Linked DNA regions of Nothobranchius furzeri. The protein of the gene in region 1 interacts with the protein of each later gene in a biochemical or structural test. Links are inferred from orthologs where the notes say so. Each region holds a gene or a part of one and is shown on either strand. Other genes may lie near its edges.

What was found.
Region 2: the proteins of fen1 (region 1) and hus1 form a complex in vitro, tested with the Homo sapiens proteins (2 studies listed by BioGRID). The link is inferred for Nothobranchius furzeri from reciprocal best matches to the Homo sapiens genes FEN1 and HUS1.

Annotation. Positions count from the first base shown.
Region 1 is NC_091747.1:42,123,610-42,139,270, forward strand, and holds fen1 (flap endonuclease 1), read right to left. Parts: upstream 7,763-15,661; 5' UTR 7,654-7,762; intron 7,617-7,653; exon of another isoform or gene 7,519-7,616; intron 7,413-7,518; 5' UTR 7,403-7,412; coding exon 7,321-7,402; intron 7,134-7,320; coding exon 7,031-7,133; intron 6,916-7,030; coding exon 6,813-6,915; intron 6,672-6,812; coding exon 6,608-6,671; intron 6,511-6,607; coding exon 6,401-6,510; intron 4,294-6,400; coding exon 4,157-4,293; intron 4,079-4,156; coding exon 4,012-4,078; intron 3,940-4,011; coding exon 3,808-3,939; intron 3,730-3,807; coding exon 3,578-3,729; intron 3,265-3,577; coding exon 3,150-3,264; intron 3,072-3,149; coding exon 2,994-3,071; 3' UTR 2,633-2,993; downstream 1-2,632. Other genes in the region: sialic acid-binding Ig-like lectin 12, read right to left, coding at 138-515, 631-739; tm9sf1 (transmembrane 9 superfamily member 1), read left to right, coding at 8,861-9,019, 10,195-10,326, 10,477-10,599, 10,685-11,043, 11,115-11,269, 11,337-11,522, 13,020-13,293, 13,367-13,760; homeobox protein NANOG, read right to left, coding at 14,552-14,821, 14,916-15,050, 15,109-15,467. UniProt on the Homo sapiens protein: Structure-specific nuclease with 5'-flap endonuclease and 5'-3' exonuclease activities involved in DNA replication and repair.
Region 2 is NC_091747.1:63,757,242-63,772,975, reverse strand, and holds hus1 (checkpoint protein HUS1), read left to right. Parts: upstream 1-8,438; 5' UTR 8,439-8,547; coding exon 8,548-8,599; intron 8,600-8,853; coding exon 8,854-8,981; intron 8,982-9,466; coding exon 9,467-9,643; intron 9,644-9,829; coding exon 9,830-9,937; intron 9,938-10,010; coding exon 10,011-10,085; intron 10,086-10,381; coding exon 10,382-10,481; intron 10,482-10,571; coding exon 10,572-10,706; intron 10,707-10,885; coding exon 10,886-10,968; 3' UTR 10,969-11,201; downstream 11,202-15,734. Other genes in the region: melanoma receptor tyrosine-protein kinase, read right to left, coding at 13,721-14,037, 14,112-14,205, 14,772-14,915, 15,005-15,102, 15,181-15,327. UniProt on the Homo sapiens protein: Component of the 9-1-1 cell-cycle checkpoint response complex that plays a major role in DNA repair. The 9-1-1 complex is recruited to DNA lesion upon damage by the RAD17-replication factor C (RFC) clamp loader complex.

The DNA.
Region 1 (15,661 bases):
TGCCTGAAACCAGTTAATTTTCTGAAAGATTGTTTGCTGATCTGAAACATTTAAGTGACAATAAATCAGAATAATGACCTTTCACCATGCTTTTTGTATAGATGTATAAATAACGGCTGAAACTCAGGCCTGCTCACCTTTGACCTTGATTTTAACAGGATTACTACAAGCCGTCGCCTTGAATGTTGCATTCTCAACTCTGAAGAAGATATCTTTTGAGTGATCTTTGGTTAAATTGAAGAACATGGTGGTGCAGTTGTTTTGGCTCAGATTTCCAGTCATTTCCATCGGATAGTCTCTCACTGACCCACTGCTGTTGAAAACCACATTTTCTGGGTAGTCTGTGAATTTGGGATTGTCTTTGATCCACACTCCAAAGGTGATCCCTGAGAGGTGGACCCCTTCTTCACTTTTGAAGTGACACGGGATTATTAAACAAGATCCACTCGTGGCCTTCAAGGTCTTTGAAGTAGTAATGAAGAGCTTTGCTTCGTTAGCAGCACAATATGGGCTACCTGTAAATTCAGTATTCAGTTAGTGGAATGCTGCTCCGTTCTGATGTGCTTTTACTGTTAAAATCCAACTAAGATCATCAATAAACTGTAAAAAACAAGGTGACAAAAATCTCACCGGACACAAAGAGGAACCTCAGGAACAACGTAGATGTCACCAGAATGAGAGACATGACGAGTCTGCAATCAGAACCAGTGTGTAGTTTAAAAACACATTTATGAATCATTTATAATAACTTGAGTAAGTGGTAATCAATCATCAGCTCTCCTGTTTCCACCATGTGCAGCAATGATGGGTGTCTTTTAATAAAAGGACATAAAAACAGTTGGAAAAGTTGTCAGCAGCTTTCTGTTTCTAATAAAGTTCAAATAAAACAATCTAAATCACAAATCTATTAGAGCAACACACACGTATACACAACATATATAGAGTGTTTTAGATAACTAACCTCAGGACAAGAAGTGTCTCACCAACGGACGTCTAATGGTCTGAGCGTGCAATCTTTTTTGAGAACCCACCTCTAGGGTGAGAGACGGAAGAAAGAGAAAGGGGATGTACGGTCGCGTCAAAGTTACTTCAGTTGGCTGCAAAACCAACAGTTACACAAGACTAAAATAAAACTAAACATCGTTGTAAATCATGCCTGAAGAGAAAGCAGGTTTAATCTTTGCCACAGAGAAATTTTCCAAGCTTTAAAGACATTACATCTGAAACAGATGACACCCAGAGCTGTTCCGTTACAGTAAGTACACATATTTGTATACGTGTACTGACTGTACACAAAAAATCTGATTTACTCAAAAAATCGGAATTGAGCACCAAGGTGTAGCCCACTGGAATACGTTCCATATTCTGTTTATTTCATTAAGGGTTGAACAATATAGGTCTCGAGAAATATATATATATATATATATAGTGACAAATGGTTTGGATGATTTCCCATTCGCCCCCTGTAATTTATATCTGTGTCCTGCTGGCACTGTGATGGGGGATATTTTAACCAGACATAAATGTGAATATTGCACTGGTGTGGATGTAGTTACCATTTGGGATTTCATGTTTGCTTTGTATCCAGGGCAGGTTGTGATCATCCCATGATTGGCTGCTTCATTTGGACAAACCAAAGGAAATGGGATTTGTTTCTTTGGTCTTAGTGTGAAAATGTTTCTTGTATTGTAGAAACAGTTTTGTCTTTTGTTTATGTTAACATTTAGGTACATTTATGGGGATGTTTATTTCCTTTTGGATTTAATGTTGGAGCACTGATGATTGGGGCTGATTGTTTGCAGGTGTGATTTTCTGGGGTATTTAAAGGAAGCCAGGTGGAGGCTTGAGGTTTTTTTTGTGTGATTTGTAAAGGAAAGCAGTGAAATAAATGCCTGAGAAGCATTTTGGCTCTCAAGGAAAAATGTCCATGTGCTGCAGTTTGCCTCTACTTCTTTCAACTTGAAGACCTTCTGGCTGCTCTACATTCTCACATATATATATATATATAGAGACATGTCGAGTATATATATATATATATATATTAGTTAATCTATGATGTTACCATCATCCACTCATCATCCAGACTTTAGTAGTTTCTACAGGAGTGGCTCATCACTTAAACAAATCAAACTAGGGAAGCAACAATACCAATTTTTCCCAAACCAATATGATACCCGATACTTGGATCTGAGTACTCGCCGATACAGATACTTCTACCACAAAAATGCAATGAATTGGAATACAGGTTTTATTTTCTTCTCTGCTTTCAACAGGAAGACTGTGAGGTAAATAAAAAATAAAATATATTAATACAAATGATCACAAAACTAAAATATAAGGTGAATGGAAATGACAAGTTATAGTGAAGCCACTTTCAGACAACTGCATTGGTATCGGTTCCTGATATTGGTTAACTTTTACCGCTACCAGTATCGGTATCGGTGGTATCCCTAAATCAAACGTAGAAACACACTCCAGCAACAGGTGTCAGCTCCACTTTTCCTAAGTACAACAGAGAGCAGACCGGCACTCTGAAGTTGCAAGTGGGGTATTCTGGTCACAAAGGGCAGTGGGAATGTGAGTGACATTTCATTAACCCTGTAAAGTCATTTTAGCACAAACTGGCTCAACAAAATGATTTAAAAATATGAAAAATCTGCTTACTATGGTTTTAAACTCTTAAATAAATCACGGAGCTCCCTGAAAAACACAAACTTACCCAAGGGTTATTTTACACCCATAGGTAAACCTTTCAGAATAAAAGCATTAAAGTCTGTTTTTTTGCATCCACGTAAACACCAGTTTTGTTCTTTTGTGAGTTTCTGTGATCATTCACTAAAACACACATCAGCACACCATGTTTTCTACAAAAGTTTGTTTTTTATTTGAAGCACAAAGTTTGAGTTGAAATAATCGTTCTGCATTGCAGTTAAAATCCTTATTTAATATCTAGTATTTATAACAAAAACACTTCAAATGCATCTGATTTTTATTTATTTGCCTTTTCTAAACTTGCCAGGAGTGGCTCCAGTTTTCTGCTTTTTCTTTGCTGATCCTTTGACCTCTGGTTCCTGAGAAAACAAAAATAAAACTGCTCACTGAAGCAGAGATAAAACACTTAATGGCTGCTGAAGGATCTGAGGGGATACCTTTCGTTTTGAGGACAGGGATCCAGTGACGGTGAAGAAAGAGTCCAGTCGCCCCTGAGTGCTGCCCTGTCGGCTCTTCAGGATTTTCTTACAGCCGTTACGGATCCTGTCTTCACTGCAAACACAAAGATTAGTGATCAAGACGACTAAAATCAATAAAAACCTAATTATAATCATTTTAAAGTGTTTTCATATGGGTTAAATTGTGTTTATAAATAATAATAAGGAATGTGGGAGGATTTGCTGTAAAGCGGTGAATGAACTCTCCCAAAAAGATAAAAGCTACTAAACATGACATAAAACAGGCCAACAGCACAGACTAATGGTCAAACGTTGTAAGAACAGCTGCATTAAGCACAGTGAACAGGATCTACAAAGACAATCAAACTCGGTGAAGAATGGGACAGGAAAGTCAACTTTTGACCCACTTGAACTGTTTCTCGTTGCACATGAATTGGATCAGTCCCGCCTCGTCGGGCTCGTTCCACTTCAGCTCCACTGAGGAGCAATCTACCACCTCTGGCTCCAGAAACAAATTCCTGGCTTCTTTGTAGAGCCAGTCCTCCGGAGTGGGGTATTTCTGTAGGAATCAGATTCAGAAGCTGGTCTGACTACATAAGTTCCGGTTAAGATGGGATGAGAGGAAACAATAACTCACACTGGAGTCGATGTTTTCTAGGATCTCCTCGATGCAGCCGTGCTGTCGGATCAGGTCGATGGCTCTCTTGGGTCCGATTCCCTTGATGGTGCCACAGTAATCACAACCCAGCAGAATGCATAGATCTATGAACTGGAGACAGGAGAGATTTTAGTCTCATGCATGATATATTCTATCCTGTTAGGAGAAAAAGTAAAGCCCTACCTGCTCAGTGGTCAGGCTAATGTCCTGCAGGACGCGATTGAAGTGGAACTCCTGAATGGGAAGTTTCCTGAAACAGAAAATAATCATGCATAAAACAGAAACTGTCTCTACAGCAAAGCTTAAATCAGGAACTGGTGGTACATACTTGGCTTCACTAGCAGTGAGGTGTCTGAGCAGGACATTTGTCCCAAAGGTAAGACCGTCCATGTCCTCTGTTGCCGTGGCAAACACCTTTCCTGCTTTAACCAGAGCGGCGCAGGTGGCCTCCGCCTCACATGGAGCCTACACCAAACAAATGGTCATTTAAACTTTATTTAGAAAACAGAAAATATCCATTTATCAGCGTAAAAATCTAAATAATGAACCAGAGCTAGCCAAAAGAATCATTATTATAGGCCTGGTGTGTTAAAGATATCGGCCAGAAGCAAAATTCCTCTGTGTAAAGAAGTATTAAAACCTCAGATGAAAAAGGTTTTTGGATTTTCACGGCTGGAATTTTAAGAAAATCTGATGTTTTTTACTGGCACGGGAAAAACAGAAACTAACTTCCGGTCTAAGCCCTGGGCACCTGGTGACGTTTCACAAGGCGCTCTGCTGAAACAGCTGCAGTAAACAACGCCCGACTCCGGTGTTTCTGCGTTAGCGTTTTAGCAGAGAACATTGTGTCATCAGTCTGATGTAGCTTCTGAAGCCTCTGCTAGTCGGTCAGATATGTTTTTTCTCTGGGATACGGCGACGAGGACGGCTATTGGATTACCGGAGAAGTTCAACCGAACTCCGTGCCCGGCAGCTGGAGATCAGAACCGGAGGTGCAGAAATGCTTTGGACCAACCCGCGGCCCGATTAAGACACCGGGGAGGATTCTGTTTGTCTTCTGAACCAAAATCGGTTCCGTTTGTTAAAGTTTGTTAAAGATTTCAAGCCTGTGCTCCACTGATAGTTTTCAGTTAAGTTCTCCATATTGTCCCAATATAATTCAGTAATCTACAGATGAGTAAAATAACATGTTGCCAGCTTTACCGCTGTGTGTATTTATTGATATAACATTGGAAAATATTTAACCGATTTCTTACCAGAATTAAACTTTCTGATGCTAACTCGCTAGCTTGGATTGTTGTTTTCTAATCCAGGATGACACGGAGGTTCTACCGGTCCTATAGGAGGATCTATTGTTGAAAAATGGGGATCATCATTTAGATTATATGTGCAAGTGTGTGTGTGTGTGTGTGTCTCGTAGCTTTCACAAATTACTTGTTCTTTGCCGGAGCTAACACGGTTAGTGCTGCAGCAGTCATGCTAACGGGACTCGCCTGCAGGAGTCCAGAAGTACCGGTGCGGTTCCAAATGGATTTATAGATGTAGGTTATTATTTTAGATCAAACAATTTTCTGTTTTAATCAGGAAGACGATAGTAAACAAAATACACCGATTTACCCATGCTAGCAACAGCAGCTACCTAAATGGTAAATGGCCTGTATTTGATATAGCGCCTTCTAGAGTCCTGGAACCCCTCAAGGCGCTTTACAACACAATCAGTCATTCACCCATTCACACACACATTCACACACTGGTGGGGATGAGCTACAATGTAGCCACAGCTGCCCTGGGGCGCACTGACGCCACCGGTCCCTCCGACCACCACCAGCAGGCAACGTGGGTTAAGTGTCTTGCCCAAGGACACAACGACAGCGACAGACTGAGCGGGGCTCGAACCTGCAACCTTCAGATTACGGGTCGAGCACTTAACTCCTGTGCCACCGTCACCCCAGTTTGACCCCCTAGTATGACGTGTGTGTGAACGATGTATGCAAAACACGGTTCTTCGCTGCCTGGAGAAGAGAATGTTGATTTTCTGTAATGATTTATGACTAAATTCTTTAACAAAATCAAAAACTGAACCCAGTTCATATTTATATTGATGGTAAAGTGTAGTTATACTGTATTTCTACAATTTTAATGCCGAGTCTGGCCACTACCTTTAAGATCTCAACCCTAGCATTAAAAATACAAACCTTGCATACGTTATGTAAACAACAAACATGCACAATGTTGATTTTTTAAAAAGATATTTCCTCAAACTGTGTTTGACTAAATAATAAGACAAGGATCTCCTGACTGGTGTAGCATTTCACTGGTGACCAAAAAGAACAGCTCAGCTGAATGTGACTTCCTCTGGTAGATCTCCTCCAAACTCTGATTCCAGTTTATTTAAAATAAATAAAACCCGACAAAGGAGAAAAACAACAGAATCCTAAAATTTAAACAAAATAATCACAGCTAAAGAAGATAATTTGTCTAAAATATGAGGACTAAAGCAACTTGTTGGTTATCTGGGGGTTTAAATGCTTGATTATGACTCTACGTGTTAAGAGTTAAAACTTTATTTTACCTCGATGTAAGGCACTCCCATCAGTGTCAGCAGCTGTTTGCACTCATCGTTGTGCTGCTTGGTGACTTTTACAAGCCGCTTGGAGAACTTGTCAATATTCTCTTGTTCCCCTGATTTAAGGAAAAACGTGATAAAGTTGTAAAAGAAACTGTGTAATGTCCAGAGTGGTTTAAAATTCACTTATCGGAATAAAAACGGAACATTTACCCATTTCCTGGGCTTGAGCGAGTAACTTCTCTGCTTCTGCTCTCCTTTCCCCTCTCTTCTCCAGCTAAATGATGAAAAACAGAAATTACAAACTGACAAAAGGTAAAAATCAACATGAGAATGAAAAATAAACCCGTTTTTATTATTATTCCTCCTCTGATGTCACACTGTAGAGAATTCGTTTAGGCTTTGGGTTCATACTGACCTCGGCTGACTTGAGCTGTGGAGGCTTTCCATCAAACACGTACACAGGCTTGATCCCGTTCTCCAACATGCGGATTGTACGGTAGAACATTCCCATCAGGTGGCTACGGAAGAATAAATGACAAAAGTGCCTTGTAGTTAAAAGCAATTGCTTCAAGTGCTAGTTTATCTTTAAATCGCATAAATATCATGAATGAGTCCCTGTTGTTTACACTGCACCTTGTAGTCTCTCCTTCTTCGTTCTGCAGAACATTCCCATCCTGTCGAACAGCTATCAGGAACTGGTAGATGCACATGGAAGCATCTATGGCAATTTTCCTGCCTGAAATGTGTAATTTAGGAAAGACATTAGGCTTTTCAAGAAAATGTGAACATTTGCGATCATGTTTAAGGCCTCGTGTAAATAAAAAGTTAAAATTTTATTTAGACACACAGAATAACTAGAGTATTTTCTCATTTTTGGAGTGCTTAATCATTTAAACGAAGGTAAAGTGGAGCTACACGTTTACCAAAGTAGTTCTTTATGTCTTGTTCCTTAATTGCACCAGGGGCATGGTCAGCGATCAACTTGGCAAGTCCGTGTATTCCCATGGTGATTTATCTGAAAACAGAAATAAACTCAACGTATTAATGCAGCGGCACACAGTGTCACATTCATACAGCAAGACAATGTGTTTGCACATCAGAATACGCTAACGAGTCAACACCTATCAAACCACGACTTTTAGATGACTCTACAGTCAGTAACTGGAAGCTACGTTCAATTGGGGGGTTTCATTACGATACACACGCTACATAAGAGGTTGAATTGATGAAATAACGTCAGTTCTGATAGTCCTCACCAGTTAGCAAAACGTAGTTTAACCACTCGGACTTATCGAGCGCGAGAATCTGCGTGTAACTCGCGGGAAATCAAATTGCAGGCATTAATACTAGAACTGTAGAACGTTGTCCACATTCAATCCGCACATCAATGATGCGGGTGCGATTAAACTGGCTGGAGATCGAGCAGCAGCATCAAACAAACACCTGATTGGTTCATCGGTGTTGAAGGAAATCCGGTTCGTCCTGTAAAACAGTGGAGTCGCCATGCTATGAGCTCTAAACGGTTTAATTGAGGGGTTTAGTGCTTTTAACGATTACAAATAACACTTTTAACTGCGTACGAAGAGAAACACATCCCCAGTCCCAAGTTTCCGGTGTCGTTTCGTGTGTTTTTTTTCTTTTTTTCTCCGCCCACCCCCGGAAAACCAAACTGAGTCGTCGTTATTTTTATTTCTTGAGGTGACGTGTTGGAGCAGTTTTCTCGTGTGTCGGCGAAAATACCGAGTGTACCCGGATATGGACGCGGTGGTTATTATATAGGCTGCATGTAGGATGTCCGTTGTGTGCGTGGGTTGTGAGTGAGCCCCGCGGAAGAGACCGCTGCTGGGGCCCGGAGCCCGAGCAGGAGCCCGGCGGACGGACTGGTTCTGTTGGTTTGGACGCATCGGGACTGGAGTGACACGACAGCGAGACTGGTAAGTCACATTCTGGGAACTAGTCTAACATCTGTTTCACCTTTTGTCACAGAGGGAAGCTTCTTTGTTTTTACAGAGTAACATAAACAAAGCTATTGTGATCTGCTTGGCTTTGGTCTTATTTTTTTAATCTTAAAATCTTCAAGATTCTGTCTGGTAGGCGAAATGTCATTTCCTAGTAATATTTTACAATACGGCGACTTTTATTTGTCTTTAACATTCCTTTTCTGGGTCCTCCCTTTAACTAAATTTAATCTTATCTATTTTAAATCAAATTAAATGCTTCAAAACATTCATCTTAAATGAGTCCAGATAGCTGAGTAGAAACTTGTTTTTAGGATGATCTAAAGTTTAAATCACTATCTGGGTCTTGATTCGTTCATCCATCCAGTGTGAAGAAGAGCACTGCTGGTTACTCACGGCCTCTCAGTTCTAGATTAGATTGTTGTGAGATGCAAACATGAAGTGGGACTCAAATTCAGCATGCCCTCTGACCCACAGGGGTTACGCGCTGTGATACCAGTAAACGATGGCTCCGGTCTGTGTCCTGATCCTGGTCCTGGTCGGCTGGGCAGCGGGCCACAAGCTGGGCGACAATGTGACCCTTTATGTCAATAAAGTAGGTCCATATCACAACCCTCAGGAGACGTATCACTACTACACCTTACCTGTGTGCAGACCGGAAAAGGTCAGTGTTTGATCTGTGTTTCTATGTAATTAGTGTGTTGCAGCACAGAGAAAGGAGGCATTCATTATTTTATTTAAGGTGTAATTTTATCTGACTGCAGCAATAAAAAGATGTCATGTATCGAGAGATGTTAGATGATATGTTGCTTGTTACCTTGGTGCTAACAGGATGAGTGCATATCAGCTTACTTTGATGTTTTCTTATGAATGCATATAATTACTGTGTGTATGTGGACTGTAAACCTTTTCATTTCTTTAAACTCAAGTTGTTTTAATTTAAAAATATCATTCAGTTCATTAAATGGTCATTAATCATTTTTTCTGTTATTTAAGAGCTTAAATATCACCAGCAGCAGCAAAATGAAGCACCTTGGCGCCATCCAGGGGTCAAATCCAGCTGAGATAACTGCGTAACAGAGAAATGTGGGTGCTGGGGAGGAGTCTAAATAAAATAGTGTGAATTTGTGAGATTTATTAAAAGAAAACAGCAAAATAAGCTTTAAGTTTCTTAATAATGAAGGATGTAAACTCAGTTTCTCTGATCAGAAGCTTTTCATGAAACTCCTGACGATGATCAGTCAATCAAATTTTATTTGTAGAGCACCTTCCACAACGTTATCGGAAGCCCAAAGTGCTGAACAGCATCATCATAAGAAAAACATTCCCAGTACATGGGCATAAAAGCAAGATAAAAACATAAAATCATAAAATATCAAGCAAACAATATTACAAATAAAGAGAGATAACGGAAATAAGACTAATCGATCAAAAACAAATGGTGGACAAAATAAAATCAAGCATCTGGGTTAAAAAGAAGAAGAATTAAAACCATAATGTCAGGGCAATTCAAAGAACCCTAGCGCTAAAACGCAATCAAATAAAAATGAGTCTTTAAACGAGACTTAAAGACTTGAAGGGATGGTGCCTGCCTAATGCTCATGGGTCATATTGTATCAGTCCTTATCTATGTTTGTGTTATGCTTCGACAGATTTCAAAATAAGATGTGTTTTGTTCTTTTTGCGGAAGGTTTGAACTCCTTGTAGCTTAAGAAAATTATATTTTGTCGTCTAGCACCAAACTATCAGTGATGAAGGTTGACTGTTTTCAGTCTAACTGCATTAGGTTCTGTTCTGAGCTCATTTTTCTGACATAATCATCGTCACCCTTTAATGCAGGTGCACCACAAGTCCCTGAGTCTGGGAGAAGTGCTGGATGGCGACAGGATGGCAGAGTCGTTGTATCACATCCGCTTCGGAGAAAACGTGGGGAAGAAAGTCCTCTGCCAGCTCACTCTGTCCGAAAAACAGGTCATTTCCAGGAGATAGACTCCGTCATGAACGCACCTTAATTTGCCAACAACGTGTTTAAAATTCCAGAAATTGCAGTTTTTTTTTAAAGTTTTTTGTTGACTAACTTTTATGAACTCTGAAACGCTTGTTGGTGCTTGTGCGCGTCAGGTGGACGAGCTTCGCGAGGCCATCGAGGAGCTGTACTACTTTGAGTTTGTCCTGGATGACATACCCATCTGGGGGTTTGTGGGCTACATCGAGGAGAGCGGCTTCCTGCCTCACAGCCACAAGGTGAGAGGAGGAATCTGGTCTGTGAGGTCGGCTGTTTGTGCTGATCTCTTTCCTTTAACCTGTCGACCCCTTTGACCTTTACCAGGTGGGCTTGTGGACTCACCTGGACTTCAACATCGAGTACAACGGCGAATCTGTGATCTTCGCAAACGTCTCGGTGAAAGACGTCAAGCCTTTCCCCCTGGAGGAGGGGGCGGGTGCTGCGGTGGGTGGCATGGGAGTCGGGGGAGGCAGCCTGACGGTCACACACACCTACAGCGTGCACTGGTATGAGTCCAGTCTGCCCTACGCCCGGAGAGCTGAGCGCCTCCGAGACTACTCCTTCTTCCCTAAAACCCTGGAGATCCACTGGCTGTCAATCATCAACTCTCTGGTGCTAGTGGTGCTGTTGCTGGGCTTCGTCATCATCATCCTCATGAGGGTCCTGAAGAACGACTTTGCTCGGTTAGTGAGCAGAGATTTTAATCTCGCTGGCATCTCAGCCAGGCTCTGATGCACGTCTGTGATCCCTGCAGGTATAACGTGGAAGAGGAGGGCGGCTGTGATGATCTGGACCAAGGAGATAACGGATGGAAGATCATCCACACGGACGTGTTCAGGTTTCCTCCTTTCAAAAGCCTGCTGTGCGCAGTGCTGGGAGTCGGAGCTCAGTTCCTAACCCTCGCCACCGGTGAGTCTTGCGTCAAACAGCCCAAAAAACACCCTGTTGAATTCTAAAACACACCTGTTTGCCTCAGCCATCATCATCATGGCGTTGCTGGGAAGGTTCAACGTACATCGCCATGGCGCCATCAACTCTGCGGCCATCGTCCTGTACGCTCTGACCAGCTGCGTGTCGGGGTACGTCTCGTGTAGCTTCTACACTCAGATCAACGGCCAGCGCTGGGTGTGGAACATCATCCTCACGTCTTCTCTCTTCTCAGGTGAGCGTCTTGACATTCCACCTCACCTTTGGCTCACCCCACATGTTATTCATCTTCTAGATTTTTATCTTGCAACACTTTATTTCTACACTGTTAACCTTCACGCCGGTGCTGTTTTAATCTTGTACTGTACAATTTGTACTATTAACACATGTCTTAACCATTTGGTTCCTTACAAAATGATGGTTAATGGGCAGATAAATAAAATAAATTATGGTTTATTTGAAATAAAATTGATAAATCTGTAGAATGTTTGTAATTTTGAGTCACATTCCTGGTTTTTTAAACCAACAGCAAAATTGTTCAAGCAGGAAGAAAGAAACATAAAAACACACACTAAACATTAGTCTCAAATGTGTTTAATCATTATTTTTTCATTTTTCTAGTCGAAAACAAAAGTTTTTCAGGAGAAACACAGATTAGAAGAGTGTTCACATCATGAATGTATTAAAAATAGCCGCATTGCTCATAATTCTAATAGTTCACAACTCTTGTGTTGGCTGATCTGTTTTCAGATGCGTTAACCATGTATCACCACTAGAGGGTGACACATTATTATTATTATGCCTCACACAGCTTGAATCCAACAAAGTTGTTCCAAAAACATGCTTAATATTCACCAATAAATGGAAACTCAGCAGCAAAACAAGCAATGCTAATTTCATGAAGTCCTAGGCTAAAATTCATCTTCCCTTTGCTGGTTTATGGTTGTAAAAATCCATGTTATAGTAAAAGAAACCACTTTTTTACCTGCTGGAGAGCTTTTTTAAGTATCTGATGCCACATGACATTATTTTTTGGTTCTCCGTAATAAAAAAACTCCACAAAGTGTACTCAGCCGCTCTAAAATACCGTTGAAGAGAGATGCACTGGTGTTATTTTCTTAGCTGACAGGTGGAAATCGACTGAGGTTCAACAGATGACTTGTTCGCACACGTGCTGAGCTTTGAGGATTTTATCTCAGAAAATGTTCTAAAAGGAAAGAAATACTTTGAAAGTTTTTAATCTTTTCAGAAGCAAATAAAACATTGTCAGGGTCCATGTTTGCTGTGTTGCAGGTATTATAAAAGTTTTACTGGTACTGATTCTTATCATTCCAGAAATAAGTCTTGCAGTACATGCTGGACGATTTCACTGCTGTTATGTTTAGTCACACTGCCCGGTTTGAGTCTGTGGTGAAAGAATGAACATCAATGCCTTTTATTTGATTTCCTGGTGATTTTGCTTCTGCAGCAAATGAGTTGTGATGCTTTTTCAGGGCTGAGAGCTTTTGCCAACTCAGCATCTATTTATTTAGCTTTAGCCAATAGGAATCGTGCAGATGAGGGTGTTTGTCAACAAAACAAATTAAATTGGCCAATGAGTTTATGGAACTTACTTTTTATTTAATCAGCTGAAAGAGTTTAAATACAGCTCTCTAATAAATGATTAATGCTTTAATCACACCAGTTGTCCACTGGAAACGCTGATAACACATCTTATTAACCCGGTTTCCAGCTCCTCTCTTCCTGACGTGGAGCGTGGTGAACTCTGTTCACTGGTGGAGCGGCTCAACTCAGGCTCTGCCCGCCACCACCGTGCTCCTCCTGCTCGGCGCCTGGGTGCTGGTGGGCTTCCCCCTCACCGTCATCGGCGGCATCGTGGGAAAGAATCGGGCCGGGAACTTCCAGGCGCCGTGCCGCACACGTAACATCCCCCGGCAGATCCCCAAGCAGCCCTGGTACAAGCACGCCGTTATACACATGGCTATCGGTGGCTTCCTGCCGTTCAGGTGAGGAAATGTTGAATCTGAACATCACAAGTGTTAAGCTTCACACTGAACTCTACTCCAACGCCTCCCTCAGCGCCATTTCTGTGGAGCTGTACTACATCTTTGCCACCGTTTGGGGCAGAGAGCACTACACCCTCTACGGCATCCTGCTGTGCGTCTACGCCATCCTCCTCTCAGTGGGTGCCTGCATCTCCGTGGCGCTGACGTACTTCCTGCTGTCTGGTGAGGACTACCGCTGGTGGTGGCGCAGCGTGCTAAGCACTGGATCCACGGGCCTCTTCATCTTCGTCTACTCAGTTTTCTACTACCGGAATCGGTCTTCCATGAGTGGGCTGGTGCAAAGCACGGAGTTCTTCGGATATTCGCTGCTCACAGCGCTAGTCTTCTCTCTGATGCTGGGCAGCGTGTCGTTCTGGGCCTCGCTGACGTTCATCCGCTACATCTACCGTAACCTCAAGATGGATTAAAGCCGGGATTCGACGCGGACCGTCTCCATCAGACACACGTCTCCGGTTGTGTTAACGGGAGAAGAAACAGGGGCCTTTAACTTAAAATGAAGAGTATGTAAAATGGCTGAATAAGGAAGAGTTGGGATTAAAGCAGATTTAAGTAAATATGTTGGTGAAAAGGGACGATGTCTCCACGTTGGGGGAGTAAAACACTACAGAGCTGGTACCTAATCAAGTGTGTATGTAAGCCAAGTGAGACCAAAATGTTCTAGACTGGTTGTATCGCCTCCAAAAACATGTAGAGTACATTTATTAAACACGCGAGTATTATTACTAGAACTGGTCTGAGGGAGACTCCCCACAGTGGATGAAAGGAAGGAAGGATGCCTTGTAGATTTTTGCTTTTGCAAAATGTTGGTGATGGGCGCAATATTGTAATTGTATCCATGTATTCTACGCTGGTTCTGATGTAAATAGCCTTTTCAATAAAATGCTTTTTAATATAAACCCTGTTAATGTCACCTAATTAGCACACACCTGGTTAGAGTTTAACACGAAAACCTTGTGGCTAAAGGTCAACCAAACACCAAAGATCACAAAACGACTTTTCAAATTGAACACATGTATTTTTAAAAAAATACACTGGAAAGTGTTTTACGCACTCGTTACAAAACTGCAAAGCAAAATTAATCCTGTTGCTGTCACAAAACACCAAGCAGTTTAAAAATGGAAGAAATGCTTTTGAACATTTGAAAGTACAAGGAACACGTGCACGTCGCCTGAGGACAAAACCTCGGCTAACAAGGCAGCTATTGGTTGGCGTACAACAAGGGGGGGCCTTGGCGGTTTCTCGGCTCTCCATCCTTACTCTCATTGCGCACAGAGCTGAATGCATAGAGATTCGGCTCCAGGTGGCTGCTGGCAGGTGCCCCAGACCGCCTGTTCACATGAGGTATGGCAGCCTGAGGCAAGTTAACAGACCAGGGTGGGTAACCAGCAGATCCAGCTGCCAGGTAGTAGGCCTTCAGCGCGTGCTGGTTGCAATGCTGCCTGAGTGGAGGACATCCTTCGTCTGAATACTGAAACACACCAAGATAAATTAAGAAAAAACATCAAAACCAGACCACAAAGTTAGTTAAATCAGTTACACATATTTTAAGCTGAGTTACTCACAGGAGAGGGCATGCTGGAGAATGTAGGTGCATACACCGATCCATCTCTATTTTGGCCAGAAAACTCCAACTGCCAGTTGTTATCCTTCTGAAGTCTCCGGAGCTTCATCCTACGGTTCTGAAACCAGGTTTTCACCTGTAAAAGAACAATGAGATCATGGCTGTTCAAAGCACAAGTAAATGTAGTCACTCACCTGTTTGTAGGTCAGATTAATCTTTTCTGCCAAGTCCTTCATCTCTTTAGGAGTGAGGTACTTCTGAATTTTGAAGCGCTGACTAAGAGCATTCATCTGAGCCCCTGAGAAGGCAACGCGAACCTTTGATGTAGGTTTATTTGCAGCGGGGCTTTGAGGACAGTTCAAGTCAGTTTGGGGTGCAGCAAGACGAGTTGGATCATTGGTGCTCATGTTCTCAGAAGTGGAAAAAGTCTGGGGCTCATCCATGAGAGAGCTGGAAACATCCTCGCTGCCTCCTGCAACAGCTCTCTGCATCCACAGAGACGGGTCCGTCTGGGGAAAGCCAACTTCACGGCTGCTGCCAGAGCTCCAATAATCTGAACCAAGAGGAACAGTTTTACTGATCAATGAACTGCAAAGGTTCATCAACAATATCGTTTTATTGTAGATCGGTCCTTATTGGGGAAAAAACAATCTATAGACTGGAGGTATTAAACGTCATAAGTTCTTCATGAGGGTTTCCAGCAGGAATTATCAGAAAACATGACGTGATAAATTGACCTAAATCAAT
Region 2 (15,734 bases), about 22 Mb from region 1:
TAATCTTCATTTGCAGCGTTTGATTCCGCTGATGTCAGCATTATTAATACGTATAATTATATCAGCTTTAGTCTGGGATGGGCCCGTATCATCAACACGCTGCCTCTTTATGTTACTGTAACAGCCTTAAACTAGCTTACAGCTGCTACCGTAATACATGTAAAAGGAGATACTTTGTTGGTGTGATTATATATCCTCTGGTCACACGAGTCAAACACGCTAATATCCGATTTTAAATGATATGCGTGATGTTTTTCCCTCGGTGAGTAACATGAGAGCTAAACGGTTTACTGCGTTAACTTTAGGGTCATGTGACCATTAAAACTCACAGCTGCTCTTACTAGGCCAATCAGGGATTATCTGAAGATCCCTGATGATAAACTCACTTTCTGGAATACCGCCCTGAACTGAGAACTCTGGAAAATAGAAGATAAGTAAACACTTCATCTAAATAAATGATAACCGAGAGCACAAAAGATGAATACTAGAAAAGCTAAAGGCAGGAGGAAATGTAAATACTGAGGAGATGGTGCTAATTATGGTGAGACTAACATGGTGGGCAGAAGAGGGAACACGGAGGAGACACGGGAGGCATTATTATTATTATTATTATTATTATTATTATTGTTATTATTATTATTATTACTGCTGCTATTTAATCTCCATCAGCAGCTGAACTTGACTTATGATGCAGATTTTGTTATTTGTTGTATATTTGATATATTTGCTGAGTATTTTTGCCACCTTCCTCTTTCACAAAATGAACATTTATTAAACTTTTCTCAGAAGTTATAATAAATACAACATTTCATCCAATAAGAACAGATCGTCTCTCCTGTTTCCTGCAGGCCGGAGCTCCTTCTGAGCAGCAGCATCTGCAGTGTCGATTCTACTCCAGCTGAGTACATTTCACTCTAATAGAGAGTACTCTGAAAATGAGTACATGTGGTCCCATGGACTCTCGCCCCCTTTTCCCGTGGGCAGGTTTAAAAAGTAGGCTAACCATTTTGGCCTCTTCGGCTTGCCCATGCCACGCCCTGATCATGCAAGTGTGTGGGAATGAGGCACCACTGGATTCCTGTTGGACTCTGTCAGCAGAAAATAAGGAAAAAAACTTTCATGATGATTTAGGTGAGAAAATGAAACCTTCAAAATAAAAGTCCTGATTAGAAGTTTCTTTATTCGCTGATAGAAATAAATTCACCTGAGAGTTTGTAAATCTGAGCCTCGGGTCTCAGAAATGTGACCCAAATGTAGAAAACCATCATTAGTTTTCTCCTGATAGATGAAACCGGACCGAAGACCTTCTCACTGACCAGAAGCGGTTCAGAGGAAGGGAGAGCAGCAGAACCATCAGAGGTTCTGACCCACTTCAGCTGCTGTGGAGCTCCGGGGTGTCCGGTTGCATCCCGCTGATAGGAATAAACCAGGAATATGTCTCAGATCCAGAAACTTCTGCTGCTTCAGGAGGACTTTCCCTCTTCAGAACCAGAACATTTTTATTTTTAAGCCAAAAGAAAACTGAAGTTTTCAGGTTTTTAAAACATTTGAACTGAATCTGAAAGTTTAAAGAACAGAACCCAATCCAACCAGAACCAGAACCAGTGTCTACACAGGCTGCTGCGACTGCATGGTTCTGGTAAACGCTGACACAGCTCTGGCTCATCCCTTGAGTTAGGAGCATGGACGTAGTTTTGAGGGGGGACAAGGGGGACGTGTCCCCTGCCCTTTTTACCGTCCAAAAGCAACATTACGCTGCGCTGACTGGACACTGGTTGAGCTCTAGGACCACGCGGAAAACAACCGCTTGTGTTGAAGCCCTTTCCCATTAGACCTGCCCACAAGCTCATCTATTGGCTCTGCTGATACTTGCTAACGTGTGATTGGCCGTTCCTGCCCCCTGTGTACTTAGTTCTGCATTCCCGACATTGTATTAAAGCGTCGTGGTTCTTTCTTTTGGAATGTGCTTGACCCACATGAACGCTCAGGAGACCAGGAGATGTAGGAATACAAGAGAGGGTAAAAGCGGGTTTGGTTCCTGTGGATTAAATAAAGTTTCAGACGAATTTAAGATTTTTACACAAATAAAACCAATAGAACAAAAACCTGTGAAACAAATAAACCGACTCTGACTCCGGATCGTCTGAGTCTGCAACAGAAAACGAACCAAGAAAAGATGAAAATACTTTATTCATCAATCTGATTTTCTTTAATCTCAAACAATAAACATAAACGTTTACAAGCGTCAACAAATCTAATCTAAAATTGTGACAGCCTTCATGCAGAAAAACAAAAAACCCAGGTCCGAATCGGATCAATCTGGATTTTCTACCGAGTCTCAAACACAGCCAGAACCGAGTCGTTTGTAGGAGCCATATGTGTCATTTCTTTTTGTGCACTTGAGAGGAGGCTTGGCCTCATGCTATTGGTTAATTGCTTGTGGAAGCACCAGCCTACTTAAGCCAACACAGAATGGACTCAGGTGTGGCTGGATGGGACAAACGGTTTTTTACTGTGTGGCGAGGACTGTGGCTGTGTGTAACGGACTCTGCGGACTGTCATTGGGGCAAGTAACGCATTCACTGAAACCCACTTTAACTGCTGTAAATGGATCCTGGACATTTTGGAACAAAACATCATAATGAACATCATCAGAAATAAACTCAAGCTGCATTTCTTAAAGCACACGTAAAGACCACCCGCAACAGCTACCAGGTAGTGCCAGTGTATAGGGCACTGGTGCTACACTTCATCGTTAATAAAAATCTGTTTATTTAACTCGACTCGTGTGAAAAAAAAAAACACAGGAGAGACGAAGATGTGCAGAGCAGCAGCTGCCCATTGAGCCGGGTCAGACAGGAGACGCAGCGCAGCACGGACCTACACACACACATATAAACACACACACGCACACACATATAAACACACACACACATATACCAGGTATTGAGTCGTCCTGAAAAGCCGTTACGCTCGGGCAAAGCCAAAATCGAAGTCAAGGGCCGGACTAAGGTCAATCCAAAAGTCAATCCAAATCTAGAACATGCTAACGAACGAAGTTAAACACAAGGGTACCACGAGGAGAAGAGAAAAGAGTGAACACCTCCGTGTCCACACCTTCTATGGAGCTAGGATTGGGACAATATTCAGCGTAACTTGTACCAAGTTTTGTAACTTCGAACATGTTTCATCACATGTAACTTTAGTTTTCTAACTTGTAATTCTCAATTCGTACTTGTATTTCTTGTTTTGTAACAGGAACGTTGTATTTTGTACATGTATTTTTTTATTTTGTAACATCAAACATTCATTCAGATACATGAAACTTTCGTTTTGTAACTAGCAAACTTCCAAATTGAAAAAAATCAATGTACAAGTTTGAAATCAAAACTCTCAAAACACACATTTCATTCTACAGGTACAACCCTGAAATCTACAGTTACGGATCTTTTTGTCTCGATTCTAGCGTCAGTGGGAGGAACTTGGGTGGAACCAATGAGAGCACGAGTCTTAGCTACCAATCACGTTTCTCAAATTCCTGTCCAATCATTGGGAGAGGAGGGCGGGGTTCTGGTTCTGTCAGAGCTGTAGAGAGTTACGACACGGAAAGCGGGAGTCACGTGGTTCATGGAGCTTTGAATAGTTCCAAACAGCCCCGCTGCTGCATTGACCGTAGTTCATTTTCGGTGTTTCGGAAGGATTTTCTCCGGTAAGTTGATGAAATGTCATCATTTTGTTGCGTTGTGAAGCGTTAGCTAACCGCTTCGTACCAAAATAAGCCAACGATGATATTTTATGTTGCCAGTTTCAGCTAGATAACCTTTAATGAGCTAACTGTGTGCAGCTTGTTGGTTGTGAGCAGGAGGACGAGCTGTAGACGGGTTTCTTTCAGTTTGTTTGATTCTACGTTTTAAAAATATTCCCCACAGTTTGAAATAGGTTATAAACTTTTTACATTATTAGTTTTATTTGGGATTTTTTGTACAATATGTTGCTGTATCAACACGAACACGCATCAGAAATGGAAGCACAAATGGAGAGACCAATAATAAAGAAAATGTGATTGTGAAGACAAGTAATTATTTAATTTTTTTCAGTTAACACTGACTACAACGAACTGCTGAAGCATGAGACAAACAGGATTACAAACATAAGAAGATATGTTGTTCTGTTTTGTGGACTCAAGTAATAAGAATAGCATTAAGATAATTCAAGAACAGTTGAACAATAACTTTTAAAAATTAGACATTTTCCATAAAACTGCTCATTTCCACTTGCTTTATAATATTAGCATTTGCAATTTTGTTATTAAGGAATGACAAGAAATAAGAATTAATAACACAACTATCAATAAATAAATGTCAAAGAGTAACTAAAACAAAGATCTTATGTAACCATTAAAGGTTAAACTGTGTTGTGTGTCCATCTTCATGTTTTCATAGTGGCTGAGTGGAGAGCTGACCAGGAACAACGGTGGTGGTAAAACCCAGTTGGGTCTGTGATGGAGTGATGCTCGCCTGGAGTGATTGCCATCTCATCCACAGTGAGCACACACTCTCTTTCCATCTCTGTCAGGTTTTTAACCTTCAAACTGAGCATGTCACACACCTCTCCTAACACACCTGGTTCCAGTTTAACGGGCTGCATTTGTCTGTGCAGGTTCTAACATCAGGCAGAGGGATACTCGTGTCCTGAAGAAACCTGCAGCCTGTTGAACCCACTGAAAAACGGAGCTGTACGGCCTTTTTGATTGTCTGTTTACTCCATTTACCGCCTCTTGTGTTTTTCATGCCTTTTTGACTTTCTGTTTCCTCCCTTAGGTTTTCCAGCTGGGTTCCCTGCTTGCAGCCTGTTCCTTTCTCCTCCTGGCCCTGACGCCCGCTCCTCGTGGCTTCCTGGGATGTCCCTCTCTCCTGACACCATCTCAAGTCCCCCCTCACTTTGCCTCATCTCATTTGCCTCACTGCTGCTGCTGCTTTCCTCATTCTCTGAATTTATAATGGCACTGTTAGAATAAAGAATCATTTTAAAATAAAATAAATACAAATGTCTTAATATTTCAAAAGATTGGTACCACAGTTTACTGGAGTACAACATGTGTGGTCGCTGGTCAGTGGATCAACATGCAGTGGTTCTGCTGTACTTCTCACTGCGGGGTCCTTCCTCCTCCTTGGTTCAGGGCGATGAACAAACAGCATCAGCCCTGAGTCTCACCTTGCCTTGCCTAGTCTTAGTAAACTGTCCCTCCTCTACATGTGCCTGTAGAGTGGTGTATTAATTTATTTCCTGCCACATTTAACAGTTTAATTGCAGCCTTTTGCAGTTGAGAGCAGAACATGTAGAGCCTTGATAGAAAACATGTGAGAGTGCACATTAAACTGACTGCACACAGCTTTTTGTTATTGTGATCTCTGGTCATGGTGAGGTTGCTCCTGCTGACTCGAGCCAACCATTTTCTTCTTCTCTCTGCGTCTTTGGGGAAGCCGTAATTCTGATTCCTCCATCAGACCGTTTGCTATATGCAGCGCAGCCAACTATGTAAGATATTCAACCTATAAAGGGATTATTAAAATACTATTTTTGTACATATAGAAATATTGAACAGAACCAAAAATATAGAAATGTAAAATTACATTTAAAACTTTCTCCAACCCTAAAATTTGTAATTTCAAATTTTAACCCACAAACACATTTTAATTTAATAATAATCAAAATAAAGTTATTCAAAAGAGTTTCATTAGGTCTTGAGTACATTGCTCATAATGAATGATTCAGCTTATTTGTGCATATGTAATGACTAAACATGATGTTGGTAAAATGCTTTATTAAAAATGCTATTATACATGTTGTACAAGTTTGTGTTCATTTTTTCACAGTTAACACTTTTTTATCTACTGTGATGAACCATACAGTTTTATTGAAGTTTTCTTTGTAATTAGTTGCTATAGAAACCAGATAAGCTGGGTTATAGATGCATGTGCTGTCTTCACATAAAAATATAAAGTAATGATTGTAAAATGTATTCTACTGAACATAATAGATCATCATTCTAAGCATAAACACCTACATATTTTCTTCAAGGTAAGCTGGAGCAAAATTCTAGCTTTAATAAACACTTTAAAATGGATATTACAACTTGAGTTTAGGGCTTCTTGCAGGACTTAAAGTTATTAAATATGCTTATATTAAAGCAGTGTGTTGCATTACTACATCACATTTATTGCTATAGTATATTATAGTAATGTATGTGGTCTAAATGTGTTCTACAGTGTTTGGACTGTCGTGTTCCTGTAATGTAGAACAGTCACGGCTGTCTGTCTTCCTACAAATGCTCGGAAAAATATAAATAGGCCACTTTGTGAAGGAGTTAGGACTTAATATATATATAATATATAATATTATTCAACAAATACCACAAATCACCAGGGGAAATGTGATTATATTAAATTTTTGTGATTTGTCCCACCATACGCCGTTCAAACTGACTTACGGCGCTGGGATGTTTGGAACTGAGAGCTCCGTGAACCACGTGACCGCGAGTCGGCGAGTTCAAAGAGTGTCGCAGCTCTCTCTCTACAGCTCTGACAGAACCCCGCCCTCCTCTCCCAATGATTGGACAGGAATTCGAGAAACGTGATTGGTAGCTAAGACTCGTGCTCTCATTGGTTCCACCCAAGTTCCTCCCACTGACGCTAGAATCGAGACAAAAAGATCCGTAACTGTAGATTTGAGGGTTGTACCTGTAGAATGAAATGTGTGTTTTGAGAGTTTTGATTTCAAACTTGTACCTTGATTTTTTTTATTTTGGAAGTCTGCTAGTTACAAAACGAAAGTTTCATGTATCTGAATGAATGTTTGATGTTACAAAATGAGTAAATGTACAAAATAAAAGTTTGATTTTACAAAATAAAAAATACATGTACAAAATACAACGTTCCTGTTACAAAACAAGAAATACAAGTACGAACTGAGAATTACAAGTTAGAAAACTAAAGTTACAAGTTACGAATCCAAAGTTACATGTGATGAAACATGTTCAAAGTTACAAAACTTGGTACAAGTTACGCTGAATATTGTCCCGATCCTAGCTCCATAGATCAGGAGGTTCTGAGAGGATTAGTCACAGAAAGTTCTTACATAAAACTTTATCTGACTTTGAGCTCCAGGCAGAAACTCTTCAGACTTTTATTTATGATCCCAGAGGTTTTAAAAAAATAAAATGCTTTAAACAGGGCTAGAGTTCATTTGAGTCTCGTCTGATTCTGGTTTAGTTTAATGAATCATAATAGATTTAGTAAATGAATGAAGAACCCAGTGGTTCTGGGAGGAACCCTGCCGCTGCTCCAGAGCTTTAAGGAGCTTAGGAAGGACCTAGACCTGTTTGGTTTCAGGGAAAGTTAAGCTTTTTATTTCTAAAGACCAAAAACAATCAAAACAACACAAGAACAAGGAAAATAGCAGACAGAAAAGGAAAGGTTAGAAAACACAAAACTAAATTTGATTTTATATATTCAGCTAATTTACTTCATCAAACAGCAAATAAAGAGAAGAAATCATGAAAGAAGAAGAAAATATCATTTCTATATTGCCTCTCAAGACAAAAATCACGAGGTGCTTCACAAAAACAAAAAATATAAAAAAGCATTCAGAAAATGTTTAAAAATATATTTAAAATGAGCAAAAAATAGACAAGAAGGGAGATCAGTGGATCCTGAGGAAGGTGGGGTAGGTGGGGAGAGCAGAACAGGAGAGGGTGATGAAGGACACACAAAGCCAGCCTGAACAAGTGAAATAGTGAAATAACTGATGAGCCTCCATACAGAATATCTGTTTATTGGTTTAATCAGTTCAGAGTTGCTGAGATATAAAAGGATTTTATGCTGAAATGAAAACAAATGAAACGGGTTTGTTTTGTCTGTAAATCAGGAGCATAAACAGGATCAGTCCTTTCATTTCGCTTTACTACCCATTCAGAACAAACCCCATTCAGAAAAATTATTTGAGATTTTAAAGTAAAAATAATGTATTATAACATTTATTTGCCTTTAAATTTGGATTTGACCTGCTATCAAATGAGGAAATAAAAAATTTTTGCTCTATTTTCTTCCTTTTTAGCAACTTTTAAAAACATTTTAAGACAAAACAAACTTTTTTTCTCATTTAACTAAAACATATTTAAATTAGCGCCCAAAACTCCTGACTCAGTCCAGAACCTCTGACCCAGGAGGTGGACCCACGGTGGACTGGGTCAGAACCTCTGACCCAGACCAGAACCTCTGACCCAGTCCTCATCTCTTTCTTCCCACCCTCCTGTTCCTGGTCTTTAATTCACTCGAACCTGATTTAAGGTAGAAATTGACTCCTAACTCAAGGGATGATCCAGAACCAACCATGTTTTTATCATTTTAAGTGTCGCCGATTTCTCTGTTAATAGGAACGTTTAACAGAGGAAAGCTGCTGTTTCCGTCGGACCTTTTTAAAGGCGGACACAACAAACTCCCTCCTTTCTCTTCTCTTTAAGTTTAGATTAAAGTTTTTAAAGTCAATATGAAGTTTCGGGGGAAAATCATCGACGTCGCCTGTTTAAACCACTTTAGTCGTGAGTTTTTATAAACGTTTGTCTGGCGGTGCTAACGTGTTAGTAGCTTATGTTAGCCTAACGTGTTAGCTTAACATGTTAGCTCGCTTTCTGTTTTGGTGTTGAGTTCGAATTAAATTATTTGTTATAAAAGCAGTGAATGAAAACCCGTTTATCTTTAAATAAAACATGTTCAGAGTCAGAGAAAACTTTACTATTTAGTCTGAGACGCATTACAGTCGGTCAGTAGTTTTAAAACGTGTTTGTGTCTCCAGGAGTGATCACCACCATCTCTAAGCTGACCAAGACGTGCGTCATGCGGCTGACGCCAGACAACCTGTTCTTTGTTCTGTCCGGTAAAGTGACCAACGGGGGGGTCAGCATGTGGTGTGAGCTGCATCAGGTGAGCTCAGGTGGCTCCTTTAGCCCGGGGGGGGGGGGGGGGGACCAGAACAACAAGACAGCTGTCGGTCTGACATCATGAATGCATCACAGGTGTTGGTAAAGCTGCGGCCCGCGGGCCTTTAGTGGTCCTCCACTTTAGTTCCAGAAGTGTGTTCTTAGTATTCCTCGTGTTTTATTAGCTTTTATTGATCGGTATTGTTATGGTCTGTTGTTGTTGTTGTTTGATTGGTCGTGTTTTAGTCCAGCCTGCGCGGCGCTTTGGGCGGCTCTCGTGTTGTGTTTTAAATGTGCTTTATAAATAAAGTTTCGTACGGTGAGAACATCAGAAAATGTTGAGCTTGACCCAAAGTCAATGGCGCTTTTCCTGGTAACTGAGAACACAAACGCATCACGAGTCAGAACCAGGGGCCTGATGGTACCAGAACATACTGGTATGAGGTCCAGGCCGTGACCGGGCTAATGCCAAGTGCTTCCTCCCTCCAGGCCAACTTCTTCGATGAGTTCCAGATGGAGGGCGTGTCCTCGGAGTTTAATGAGATCTGCTTGGAGGTGACGCCAGAAAACCTGTCCAGAGCCCTGAAGACGGTCCAGAACGCCAAGTCGGTCAAAGTCAAGCTGACCAAGAAGCACTGTCCCTGTCTGACTGTCGCCGCCGAGCTGGTGAGACAGGCCGAGGACCACGGACTCTGGTTCTGCTGCGCTGGCTCCATAAATGTTCTGATTCTCATATAAATCATCTCCAGAATGTTGAAGGTTCTGGTTTAGAGGTTCAGATGCAGCATACTGGTTCTGAGTTAGTCTAATCGGGCTCAGTTCATGACCCTGATCTCCCTCTGACCCGTCCAGCCCTCCCTGTCCAGCAACAGTCGGGTCGTTACCCACGACGTTCCGGTTGAAGTCGTTCCCCGGAGTCTCTGGCACGAGTTTAAAGAACCAAGCATGCCGGACTTCGACGTGAGCTTGATTTGAATCTTTGTTAAAGTTTTGGGTTCCTGAAGCGGGCCCGTCTCACTGCTTGTCTCTGCAGGTGAGCATCTACCTGCCGCCTCTGAAGACCATGAAGAACGTCGTCGACAGGATGAAGAACCTCTCCAACTTCCTGGTAGGATCAGTTCCCAGATGAGGAACTTTAACGGCCACCAGGTGGCGCTGTTGGGCCAGAACCCGTCAGTTCTGCAGCGATTTAAGAATATAATCTTTCATTCAGTTAACACTCAACAAAGGTGAAGATGTTTGAGTCAGCCAACAGAGAAACTGATCTGCAGCCTACGAGTAATTCTGTCAATGAGACTCGTTAGTTTAACTAGTTCCTGGTTAAAAATCCGAGTTAAACTTCCTGAAAGCCACATCAGGAGAGCTTAAGCTGCCGGTTTGATGCAGATTAACGTTTAACTCCAGGTGATGGAGGCCAATCTGAGCGGAGAGATGAACCTGAAGATCGAGACCGACCTGGTTTCTGTCACCACTCACTTCAAAGACCTGGGGAACCCTTCATGGGGTAAAACATCTGGACCCATCCGCCTACCGGTTCCTCAGATTAACCCCAACGTGGTGGAGGTCACCAGAATGACTCCTCATGTCTCCACAGGAGACGCCGCGTCGCAGGATGGCGGCGCGTCTCAGAGCAGGGACCCAGAGGCCATGGCGGAGGTCCGGGTGGACATCAGGAAGCTGCAGCAGTTCCTCGTGGGTCAGCAGGTCAACCCCAGCAAAGCCATGTGCAGTGAGTTGAGTCTTAAAGCAGTTAGAGCCAGAGGAGACCCCGCCCGGTGCTCCTTACAGGACTGATCAGATCCTAGCGAACCCAGCATGTGATCATGTCTAAAACCAGATTATTTCTGACTAGAAACTCAGATTACAGAAGCGTGTGATAATCTGAGTTCAGGTTTCTGGTCTCCTCAGACATCGTCCATCAGAGCGTGGTCCACCTGATCCTGCTGCACGATGACGTCTCTCTGCAGTATTTCATTCCTGCTGTGGCCTGAAGCTCCTGCAGGCTTCTGTGGAGTTTCAGTTGGGAGACAAAAACCGGCTGGAACCAGTTTCTCTGAGCTGGTCCTGTTGGTGACGTGAAGAGCCAATCAGCAGACAGGAATGGCTCTCCGTGGGTTTTCTGTGTTTAATAGTAATTCCGATTCCTGCCGAGATGACGGGAAAACTCACATTTACACGAGTTTGTTGGATCAACGTCTGATTAAATAAAACTTGTTTACAGTTTTGTGTTTTTATTACATTTATTTTTATTTTAGAGCTAAATCAGAATTCTGATGATTAATGTTTTTATCACTAAACTAAACAGGAAGTTATAAACTAGAACTTTCAACAACTCCATTACCCATGAGCCTCTGGGAGCAGCAGGTCACATGACTGAGCCCAGTTTCAGCCATCAGAAAAATCAAAGGTGATCAAACACGACTAAATGAATTCCCAGCATTCCTTAAAGGAATTCTTTCTGCTTCCATGTGGGAGTTTTGGAGTTTGTTGTGTTTCCATCAGATGTTACATCATCAGGTGATGTCATCAGGTGTTCAGTGGGTGACCTGTGGTCATTTCTACTAAACGATCCTTGGATGGGAGGAAAAGCAGGATTTAAGGTGCGGTTCCTCCAGGTATTCCTGGTTTGACTCGGTCTGGAAGTTCTGGTTGTGTGTTAGCTGTCCAGAACCACGGCTGGAGGAGAAGGCATGAAGTCCAGAAGATGATTGTTGAACAATGACAGTAAATGTCAGAGGGGTAGGGTTAACCTGTGGGGGCAGATCTGTCCTCGGACGACATCTTCAGTTGATTTGTTGTTTTGTTTTGGTTTATCAGCTTTGTTTGTTTGTTTTTGTCTGCTCGTCGTGTGCCGCCCTTTTGCCTTGAAGATGAAGTTTGGCGCCGACAGGCTGTGATGGATTAGATTGTACAGTAACGTCTGTCTGCAGGTGTCTCCAGGCAGCAGCTGCTGGAGCATCCACACCACCACCACCCTGCAGCAGGTGTGTTGTTCCTAATGAACGCTGCGGCCTCGTCAATAATTACAGTAAATGTAGGAATCAGATCAATTGTGTTTGTAAAATGAAGCAGGACACAACCAGCCAAATGCAGCGGTGTGACGGTTGGGATGTGCTCTATGCTACGAGTCAGTCAGCAGCATCAGCACCACCCCATCTCTGAAGGTCAGCCTGCAGCAGGTGAGCTCTGTAATAACCTGTTCCTCAGGTGTGTCCTGTTATTTCTACATCACTGATGATTAACATCCATGTTTGCACGTGTGTTTGATTAGCTTCCAGCTGAAGGGACAGACAGCATCAGCTCAGCCGCCTGAGGACGCCCACACCCGTCAACACATCCTGAAGCTCGTGACGAGTCTCCCAAGGCTCCTCTAGACCTGCTGACTGACTCACCTGGCTGGTAAGATGCAGGTGGAGCTAGTCCACAGAGGCTCCATCAGCTAACATCAGAGAAGCTGGATGAAGTGTCCCCTGACATGTCGGTGGCCCTGGTTGCTGCCATAATGCCAGTGCTGGTGCTGGTTCTGTCACCCAGTTCATTGTACCTTTGGATCACCATGATGCCAGAGACAGCTGCTGCTGCAGGGGGGGGCGGGCGGGGGCCACAAACCGCGGGCCGGGACTTCAGATCAGATCTCGCTCCAGAGCCTCGTGTGACTCCTGCTTGTTCAGACCTTCGTCTTCGTAAAGATTCTTCTGGGGCACATATTCATCTTCCTCATCCAGAGATGAGAAGTCCTGTGAGGTAATCAGAAGAACAACCAGCAGAAACCAGCAGCAGGACCTTTTAACTGGAGTTAGACAGATTATTTACAGCTCAGTAAAACAATCAAACACGAGTTAAATGATCACATCAACAGAAGCGTCTGCCCAGGTTCTGCTTCTTCATCAGTTTGTGTTAAAAACGGGAATCAGAACTCCTCCGTGGCTTTAGGAGGACAGGAAATGATGCGTGAAAGTGTTTACTAATGTCTCCTTCTCCGGTCTTCCTCTCCTATCACATCCTTTTGGAGCAGAGGGCTGAACTGGTTCACGTGGGAGTGATCAGGTATCTATTCTATTATTCTATTCTATTCTATTCTATACTGTTTTAGTTGAAGCTGCAGTTTCACCTCTTCACCAGCTGGGGGAGCTGATGTTCCACACGACACTCCCCTACAGGAACCACTTCACAGTTTGTAGTTTTATAAATTATTTACAAATAAACAACAAAACATCTCCAGTGTAGAGCAGCTGTAAACAACAAACGTCTCAAAGCTCAGCTGGTTTTTCTATAGAGGCCCAAAATTCACAATCATGACTGTTTCTTTAGAACGGGTTTAAAAATCAACATTTTAAACGCGGATCTCTTAATTATGACCCAGTTATAACGCACCATGTGATCGCTCTTTTATGAGCTTCTGCATTTCCAGAGATCTCCTTTCTGCTTCTTCTGTTGTTTTTGTTATCTCGGTCACTGATCATCGTTAAAAGCTCATTTCTATCAAGTTTAAATGAGCTCAGGTCATTAAATGTGAAGAAGGATGAAGTCCAGAGGAACCATCCTAGTCCAGGATGAAACCAGGGTCTGATCCAGGATCTGGATTCATCTTTGGACCCACGTCTCAAACATTTTCTCACGAAAGGAAAATTCCAGCTGAGGGAATGTTGTAACTGAAGTGATGCTTCAGTCAGTGCTCTGTTTAAGGACGGAGTTTCCTGAGAAAACTACATCAAAGTTCAGCTGTCTGAGCGCTGCTGCCCCCTAGCGGAGGGGTGCGTGCAGCGCAGCACCCAGACCCAGGTACTCCAGGTTCTCTGCAGCAGGGAGGAACACGCCGTCCCCTGTTAGAGCCTCAGAAGTGCTGCTGGTCAGAGACAGGAAATTGGCCTTGTAGTCTGGACTACGGAGGCTGTCGCCATCCTCCGGGGGTAGCGAGCTCTGGGTCATGTTTAGGTACTCCGGTCCAGAAAACGACTTGGTGGCCCAGGACTGGTTCAGGTCCTCGTAGTTGGGATTAAAGACCTCTGATAGCCTGCTGCTGCTGCGTCTGGTTTCACTCACGCTCTGGTTCGTGTAGTCTGGGAGAAAGCAGGAAACATATCAGGAATAACTCTGGCAGTGATGATCATTCAGGTCTGGTCTGAACCAGTACCGTGTCCGGTGACGCCTCCTGCAACCAGTGCTCCGCGGGTGGGATCAGCGTTGTAACGCAGAGTCATGCTGTTCTCTCTGATCGGACGGCCGACCTGACATGAACAGATAAATAAATAATTATCTGTGTTTAAACAGCTGATCAACCAGTGATGGGACGTCTTCCGCCCCCTGGTGGCCGGCAGAGGTACAGCAGGTCATCCCAGAACAGTCGTAACCATCAGACGAAACCAGAACTATGACTTTAAAAATCAGACTTTGTGTTTTAAAATGATGACTTTTTAAAACTAATTAGGACTCAGAAACTCAGAATTATGAAAAGTCTCCGGATCATATTTATGTATTTTATATTACTTAGTATAACTTTGACTTAGAACAACAGAATCATGTGTTTCAAACTTTTACTTCATGATACCAGAAAATTAGAATCGTTGCTTTAACTCCACAGTTATTGTGTTTTACATCATGACTAAAGACAGGAAAACTCCTGACTCATTAAATCATTTTTATTGATTGTAAATTTGACGGGTAACCTATGACTGACTTTAAAAGTGACCCTTCTGGGTCTCCGTACCAGAGTCAAACAGTCATAATTACTGCCTTTAGAATGAAAACTGGTGCTAAACTCTTTGTGCACGTCGCCTCTTGCGTGTGTTTTTACCATGGTGTTGCAGGGGTGGTTGCCATGGTTACTCTGGCCTTTGTACGGCTGCAGGTATTCCTCTGCATCGACCACGTCGTCCAGGTCGTCTGAGCTCAGCAGGCGAGAGTAAAACCGTCTGTCGGACGGACTCGGCAGGTCACCCTGAGACACAAGTCCGTTGTTGTTTACATTTAACTGGAACATTCATCAGATTTTCACCACAGCACCGTCGGATCAGACCAGTGGCACACCTGTATGACCAGGTATCTGGACGGGTCACGAGCCATCTGAGAGAACTCTGCCACCAGCTCTCTGAAGCGAGGCCGGCTGGCCGGGTCGATCATCCAACCTGCAGGAAGACAAAGGTCAGAAGAGCTGATCTTCCACACCGAGGTCAGAGTCCAGATCCAGAACGGAGTCCCCTTACATTTCACCATGATCATGTAGACGTCGATGGTGCAGATGGGAGGCTGAGGCAGCCGCTCTCCTCTCTCCAGCACCGAGGAGACGTCTCTGGCCTGGATGGTGTCGTACGGTTTAGAGCCGAAGGTCATCAGCTCCCACACCGTCACACCTGTAGGGCACGGAGGCTTAGAGCTGACTAACACACACCTGCTGCAGCTGCACAGCCTCCACAGACATCATCGCTCCCACATAAGTGTGTATCTATTCATCATTATTAATTAGTTATTTATGACGGTTACTGGGAATCCTTCAGCAGAAGTTTACGTTTAAACCAAATCATCTCAGATTAGTCTGTATCAGAGACACGTAACAAAATAACTTCGTGTTTTTGTTTTTTATTCTTGATATTTTCTACGTAAGAATGGCAGAACATGTGGGGTCTTGTCCGGGATCTCCCATCTCATTTTAAGGACTCTCCCTTGGTTTTGACGATTGGGTTGAGGACACGTTTTTATGAATCAGGTTTTGATCAGACGTGTTTTTGGAGTTTGTTCCGGGTTTGTTCGGAACCGTTTT